2 linked regions of the Callithrix jacchus genome follow. The protein of the gene in region 1 interacts with the protein of each later gene in a pairwise test. Links are inferred from orthologs where the notes say so. Each region holds a gene or a part of one and is shown in the gene's direction. Other genes may lie near its edges.

Evidence for each region. The genes of interacting proteins can lie anywhere in the genome.
Region 2: the proteins of CDK6 (region 1) and CDKN2B interact in binary tests that used the Homo sapiens proteins (3 or more experiments, as listed by UniProt). The link is inferred for Callithrix jacchus from reciprocal best matches to the Homo sapiens genes CDK6 and CDKN2B.

What each region holds. Positions count from the first base shown.
Region 1 is NC_133512.1:56,784,972-56,788,719, forward strand, and holds the start of CDK6 (cyclin-dependent kinase 6), read left to right. Parts: upstream 1-1,390; 5' UTR 1,391-1,482; exon of another isoform or gene 1,483-3,748. UniProt on the Homo sapiens protein: Serine/threonine-protein kinase involved in the control of the cell cycle and differentiation; promotes G1/S transition. Phosphorylates pRB/RB1 and NPM1.
Region 2 is NC_133502.1:129,005,513-129,009,260, reverse strand, and holds the start of CDKN2B (cyclin-dependent kinase 4 inhibitor B), read left to right. Parts: upstream 1-1,236; 5' UTR 1,237-1,583; coding exon 1,584-1,739; exon of another isoform or gene 1,740-1,905; intron 1,906-3,748. UniProt on the Homo sapiens protein: Interacts strongly with CDK4 and CDK6. Potent inhibitor. Potential effector of TGF-beta induced cell cycle arrest.

The sequences.
Region 1 (3,748 bases):
TTAATAACATGGTTTTAAAGTCAAAAGATTTATAGAAGTAGTATTTCCAACTAAAACAGAATTTTGCAGGGTTTTAATTTTTCTACAAAGAACTGAAGTAAATAATTTTGTGAAAAGTTTTGCTTTTAGATGTTTTAAAGGGTTTCAAGTATTCTACAGATACAGATTTTGGAGAACACTAAATTCTTTCCAAAAAGACAGCTATTTCAAGTTTTCTTTTACTCCATTGTAGAAAGTTTTAAAGACTTTTTTTTTGTCCAAAATCTCATTTTCATCTAAAATAATTGTATTCAAGGGTTTCTCAGCAGGTAAAGTATACATTCTTACCAGGTTTCAAATTTCAGAATTCCAATAATGCATTTAAACTGAGCACCCCTCTTTGTGTGTATGTATCTACTATCTGCAGTTCTATTATTTGCACTACATTTTAGTCTTTTTAGCTCCTCTGAAATACGTTAGTGAACCCTCAGCAGTTACTGACCACTTAATAATTGTGAACCCGCCAGCCCCTTCAAGTAGATCGTTAACCATAAGAGTGCCTGATAATTTCCAAACCATATCCTCTAAAAGGAAAATATAGGGCTTTGTGAGGCCGAAAGGAAGCGAAGGAAAACAAAACAAATGTAGCTCATGCTGAAAGTGAAAAGTGCTTGGACAGATTAGTATTTCTTTTCTGCAAGGCATCCTGCCAAACTTTTTTTTTTTTAATAGAGAAGAGTTAATTTTTGGTCTGATTTTTCAGTTTCTTGTAAAGTATTGGTATTTTCCACCCCCATCGGCCCCTCATAATTATTGTTGGTTGTTTTCTGTTTTTCCCATCCGTCCACGTCACACAGTGAGGATAACCCCCACTTCACCCTGTCAAAACCCCAACTCTTGGAGACCCTGGGTTTGGAAACTCCGCCGACTCCCGACACGTCCCCACTCTCTCCCACTAACGCAGCTTATTTTAGTAGCGGGATCCCCCTACTCCAGTTTCAGTGAAAGCCGGAAATTTTCATTTAACTCCCCCGCCTCCGCCCCGCGCCCTTCTAGCCCCCGACGCGTAGACCGGAGCTGGGGAGCCTGGAGCTCAGAGCCCTGCCGGGGCTCGGCCGCCTCCCCTTTCTCCGGAAAGCTTTAATTTGCACACCAGCTTGCCTCTGCGCCAGGAGCCCCCAGCCCCGCCGAGGGGTGGCTCTCTGGCAGAGCTGCCTTCGTGGGTCCCCGCCTCCCCCGCGCGGTCTCCCACGCTGCCTCCCCGGCTGGGGCCCCCAGCGCCGGCCGGATCCCCGCGGCCCCGTCCGCCCCCAGCGAGTCGCGCGGGCGGCGCCCTCCGCCGTCCCTCCGCCCTCTGCCGCTGTGCCCACCCCCTCGCCGGAGAGTGCTGGTAACTCCTTCCCCAGAGTCTGATTACCTGCTCCGCCAGGCCGTGGACACGTGCGGAGAGCCGACTGACACTCGCAGCCTCCTCAGGAGGCCCGACGCGACTGGGCCCCTCAGGTGAGGAGCCGTGCGCTCGGGTGGGTGGGCTGCGGGGTGGGGGGTCCCGGGGGAGATCTGAGAGATTGGCCCGGGTCCGAGGCATAACTGTGGGTGGGGGTAAGTGGAGCGTGGCGGGGTGGGGTGGGGTGGGGGGGGACCCGTGTTTCCCTGGAATCGGCTTTGGTTAACCCCTTACAAACTGAGACGGGGTTGGTTACGGGGGCCAGTTTTGGGGAGCTAGAGGAATCTCCTGATGAGAGGGGAGATCCCATGCTAGGGACACCCACGACACCGAGATCCTGCTTCCACGTATCCATGCGCACACACACCCACGCAGAACACTCCCCATCCAGTTTCTCCAACGGAACTGGAACTCGACTCGGACACTCACATAATAATTCACATTTAGGGTTTCAAATGCACTGCCTCTGGGGACTCCATGCTGGAAAATGTGCTTCCATCCCCCTATTTCCCCCACCAAAGCTCCCCCTCCAGCTCGCTGAGGTGTGGGTGTGGGCTCCACCTTCCCCTCCACGAGATAAATGTTAACGCAGGCTTCCTGCGGGCGTGTTATGCACAGAAGAGTGCACGCAACCGGCCAGTGCCCAGGCTTGGAGACCCGCGAAGACGCACGTTTGCTTTAGTTTCCAAGTTTACTTTTATACTTTTAAATACTGGAGTTAAACACACGCCCCGCGGTGAGCAACCCTGGTACCGCAGCGCGCCCGACCGTGTGCACATGGGCGCATCTGCGTGTGCGCACACGCGGGAGTCGCGGTCCCCGGTGTGGCCTCTTGTCGCTGTGCTGGTGGCGACCCTTGCGGTGCTTGGCAGGCTTCGGGAGAGGCGCATGAAGGATTTCATTGAGTGTGAAGACAGAGAGCAGAGACAGAAAGCAGAAGGAGGCGGCTGCAGCCTTTGTAGTCGCGGAGGAATGCGGAAATGTTGAAGCACTATGTCAAACTTTTTTGAAATGGGGTCAAGTCACATTCAGCCAGCGTGGGAAAGCAACAACAACAACAAAAAAAAAGTGGAGGAGGGGGGGGGAAAGGCATTGCTGCTCCCGTTTCTATCCGCCGAGGCCGACCTTCTGGGGGGCGAGTAGGGGGAGAGCCGGGGCCGTGCGGGGCCCTGCGGGGGCAGCAGGCACAGTTCCCTGTGGGGGTGGGACGTCCTTCGACGCTTCCTTCGCTGCGGAGCCCGGGGCTAGACTCTAGCGGGAGGGGGATGGGGGAACGGAGGAGAGGCGGGTTGGGCGGCCAGTGGCGGCTCCTCGGCTACCTGTGTGGCCCTCGACCTGGCTCAGACCCCCGGCAGTCCCTGGGGGCTCTTTGCTCGGATTTTAAGTTCTGAATGGAGTGAGTGCCAGAATCTCTGCTCTCGCCGCGGTCCACTCCACCCGCCCACTGTGGGGTCGTGCCGTTTGCTTAAATCCTGGCAAAAGGCAAGCGGGCCAGCAGTTGCGGGCCAGGTAATTCCGAGGTACCCCGGGAATTCTAGACATGCGGCCGGCGTGGCGAAAGTACTGACGAGGCCACGGTGGCCGTGGGGGAGGGAGGCCCCCTGGTCCCAGATAGCTGTTGAGTGGGGAGGAAAGGTTAGGGTACCCTTCTCTGGCGCTTTGTTGTTCACAGGGCTCCGGGGGCGTCTGGCTGCAGACTGGACCTGGCCTTTAGCCGGAGGTGGAATGGGGCAGCCGCCTCCGCTACCTACAGCCGGGAGGTCCTAGGAGTGGGAAGAGGTTCGCGAGTCCGAGCCCCAAAGACACAGACCTTCTCGCTTACCTGGAGGCGCAGGATTTAACCTCCCACCCCCCACCCTTTGAAAGGGAGGTTGAGTTTTGCTCAGGTCGAAATCAGCTTAAAACTTCAGGACCGGGCGCGATTATGCTACCGTCTTCCTGAAGTTATCTTTTAAGGAGACGACAAGCGAAAGTGTGGCGATCCTGTGGGTGACGCCACCCTCGGGATCCTGTGGGTGAGGGGGTCTCCCCTCCCCCAGGGCCTCTCGCTCACCCACCACCGAGTAGCCCCAACCCTCCCAGACCAGATGGCTGGTCTTCCCAAGGTTTCCACCAGGGAGGTCCTCCTCCCAGTCGCAGAGAGAATTTCGTTTCCAACCGGGACTCCTTTACCCCAAAAAGACCATTTGTGTGTGCAAGTCGTTTTTAAATGTCTCCTCGTAGAAAAACTGAAAGTTGAAAGAAAGGAAGCAATTTCTGAGCAGATGTCTGACCACCCCTTCTCGCACACTCCCAGCATCGGGTTACAGGGTCCTGGGAACC
Region 2 (3,748 bases), on another chromosome or scaffold:
GTCAGAGCTGAGGTATCCTAGAAGAAACAGGTGGAGACTCTCATTTTGCAATATACAACCAATTGCCCTCCTTTTAAAACTTTGTCTTCCTCAGCACTCTGAACCAAAATGATTCTGTAAATAAAAATTGTTCACTCTAAGGAGACGTTCACTTGTGTAGTTCCTCACCAAAGTTTTTAGGCAACAAATCCATAATTTGTTGTTTTCTTCCTAGCCAATTTAGCATCAGCTGAAATTTTTTAAAATAATATAATAAATGTTGATTCAAACTCACCTAGGAAGATTAGAAAGGGGAAAAAAGGCACTTGGCATTTAAATCTTCAGAAGAGAATTTAATAACAGGTTCAGCCTGTTTAATGACAGGCCCAGCACCACACCCTTCTCTTATTATGTTTCATCATTACTGCATAAATTTCCTTTACTACTCACGATAAATAAAAAATTAAATGCTTGACAAAGTGGATTTAAACAGGTAAGAGTGCAAACAAAGATTTGCTGTACAAATATGATGAAACTGGGATCTCAGATTCTTAAAGTATAAATTTTTTTTGTCTATGTGTTCCAGGTTGCCACTCTCAATCTCTAACTAGTTTTTTTTTTTCTTTTTTGAGGGTTATATTCATAATGCAAAGATGGAAAGAATTTAAAGGCACATGCAAAACAGGATTCTCAGAATTTTTCTCTATTATTATGGTTGACTAATTCAAATAGGAAGACACGTCCAAAAGAAAATTGCTAAGGTTGACACAAGATATGAAACTTACGAAGTTCAAGTACTGCCTGGGATGAATTTAACTTGTATGACAGGTGCAGAGCTGTCGCTTTCAGACATCTTAAGAAAGACGGAGTTATTTTCAGTGCCTTTCTCTCAGCCACAAGGGAGCCACCAACGTCTCTCAAGTGAAACCAACTGGCCTAAGGCTGACGGAACAGAAGTCCTCTGCTCCGCCTACTGGGAATTAGAAGCTGAGGGCAGTGGGTCAACATTCCCAAAATCTTAGCCTTGGATTTACTGGACATCCAGCCAGCAGTGCTGCCGGCGTCCCGGCGGCTCCCCGGCCCAGTCTCTGGCGCATGCGTCCCAGCACCTTTGGGCGGGCTTCCCCGCCGCCGTGACGCGTCGACCGGGCCGGGCCTTCCCGCGAGCAGGCGGGCAGGGGGCGGAGCCTAAGGGGGAGGGGAGAGGCAGGCCCCTTGGCCCAGCTGAAAACTGAATTCTTTGCCGGCTGGCTCCCCACTCTGCCAGAGCAAGGCGGGGCAGTGAGGACTCCGCGACGCGTCCGCACCCTGCGGCCAGAGCCGCTTTGAGCTCGGCTGCGGCCGCGCGAGGCGCTTTTTCCCAGAAGCAATCCAGTCGCGCCGGGTGGTTCTTGGGGCCAGGAAAAAGCCCGGAGCTAATACCCGCCGCTCTGACATCGAACGGGGCCGCAAGCCGCAGACGCACGGCGGAGGGGAATGAAGCTGAGTCCAGCTCTCCCAGGAAGACAGTGCGCCGGAGCGGCGTGGGAAAGAAGGGAGGAGTGTCGTTAAGTTTACCGCCCACGGTGGATTACCCGGGCCGCTGCGCGTCTGGGGGCTGCGGAATGCGCGAGGAGAACAAGGGCATGCCCAGTGGGGGCGGCAGCGATGAGGACCTGGCCAGCGCCGCGGCGCGAGGACAAGTGGAGAAGGTGCGACAGCTCCTGGAGGCCGGCGCGGATCCCAACGGAGTCAACCGCTTTGGGAGGAGCGCAATCCAGGTAGCTGGGCCCCGGGGCCTCGCCGGCAGGGGGCGCGCGAACGCGGGGCGCGGCCTCGGTGGGTCGGGGCTGGAACCTAGATCGCCGGTGTAGACTTACGCAGCAGTCTCCCTTGGCCGGAGGTGTACAGCCCAGGCATAAAACAGGCTTTTACCCAACAAAAATCCTAAAGAGAGAGATTGAAAAACCCACTGTTTCAGCTTTTCTTTAAAATATTGTTTTCTGCCATCTCATGATCAGAAATGCAAGGAATAGATTGAATTGGGAAAAAAAGGAGAAAGGGAAAGTTTATTTGGGGAGGAAGACTTGTCTGCCTGCTTTCAACGATACAGATAAGTAAACTAAGTTATACATTCTGGATTGGATTTAAGGAATTCTACAAAATCATAGTACATGGAAAAAATTCAATGTAAAGTTTTAAGCTACTATATGAAATCTGTTGTATTGTTTTCTCATAAAGGTTAATTGAATTCAAAGTAATAAGACTGGATTCCTCAACCACAGTACTTAGTTCTTTTTATGTTAGCAATGTCTTATAAGTGATGCATAAGAGAAAAATATATACATATAGTTCTATAGATTTTTCATTTAATTATCATACTCAGTGCTCAGATTACAAAAATATTCCTGCAGCTACTGTTAGGTCCTTTCTGAATGACAAAGGATCTTCATAAATAAGGTATCTTTATCTTCATTGTTAAAGTACTTGTATTCAATGTTTACAAATCCTGCTTTAATTAGTACTGATATTTTTAATTTCTTTTACAATCTTAGGACAACACTTTTGTACTTTACCATTGGCTATTGGTCATATTCAGTATTCACCTCACTATCACCCTCCAAAACTAAGCTAATACTAAGGGATCTTGTTACAGTGTAGATTTTATAGAAGTGTCCATTTCTTTTGAATTCTTAGAATAGAGGTAAAACAAATAAGGGATATTTTAAAGGAGCAAAAATATTGTAAAGTGGTTTTTTAAAACTTAAAATTCTATTAATAATTATAAAAACAAGTTATATATATAATTCACCATTTTCTGAAATACTAAGAACAGCTATTTTCCCCTCTGTTTTCTATGTAAAATACCTTACATCGCTAGTAAAAAAATAACATCATGGTTTTCAAGGGAGGAAATGAACATTTCTAATATTAATGAAATAAGCAAACAAAACATGAGAAGTATACTGCCTTTCAATTAAATGGTACATTTTAAAGTACATAAACCCATAACTTGATTTGGGACATTTACCAAAAACTGTCTTATAATTAACTTAAAATATGTCAGCAAATGTTTTGATAATGTTCATGTACACAAATGGCTGCTATAGGATTACTCCTGCAAAACGCTTTTTCTAAGTTATGCATCATCCTGATTGACTGCTGACATCCAAGCTCTTTTTATTTATTTTATTTTATTTTTTATTTTTTTGAGATGGGGCATCACTCTGTTGGGCAGACTGGAGTGCAGTGGTATGATCTCAGCTCACTGCAACCTCAGCTTCCAAGGTTCAAGTGATTCTCCTGCTTCAGCCTCCCGAGTTTTGGGGGCTGTAGACCGGCCCCACCACTCCCAGCTAATTTTTTTTCTTTCTTCTTTTTTTTTTTTTTTGTAGTAGAGACAGGATTTCACCATGTTGGCAAGGCTGGTCTCCAACTCCTGACCTCAGGTGATCTGCCTACTTCCGCCTCCCAAAGTGCTGGGATTACATTACCTGGCCCAAGCTCTTTTTATATAGCAAAATATTTACTATTTAACGTTATAAAATCTTAGCTATTATACAATCCTATAGTACATGGAAAAATATAAATATATTGTTAGTTTTACATTACATTAAATATATTACACTCTAAATTTAAAATGATGAACTGTTTAACAAAAATCATTTGTTCTCACAATTTTATAAGATTTTGCATGATTTAATTTACTTTTCCCTTCTAATCTCCAACTTTGGCTCAAATTTCACACTACAATCTCTTTATGAACACAGACACAAGATAAAAGCCTTCC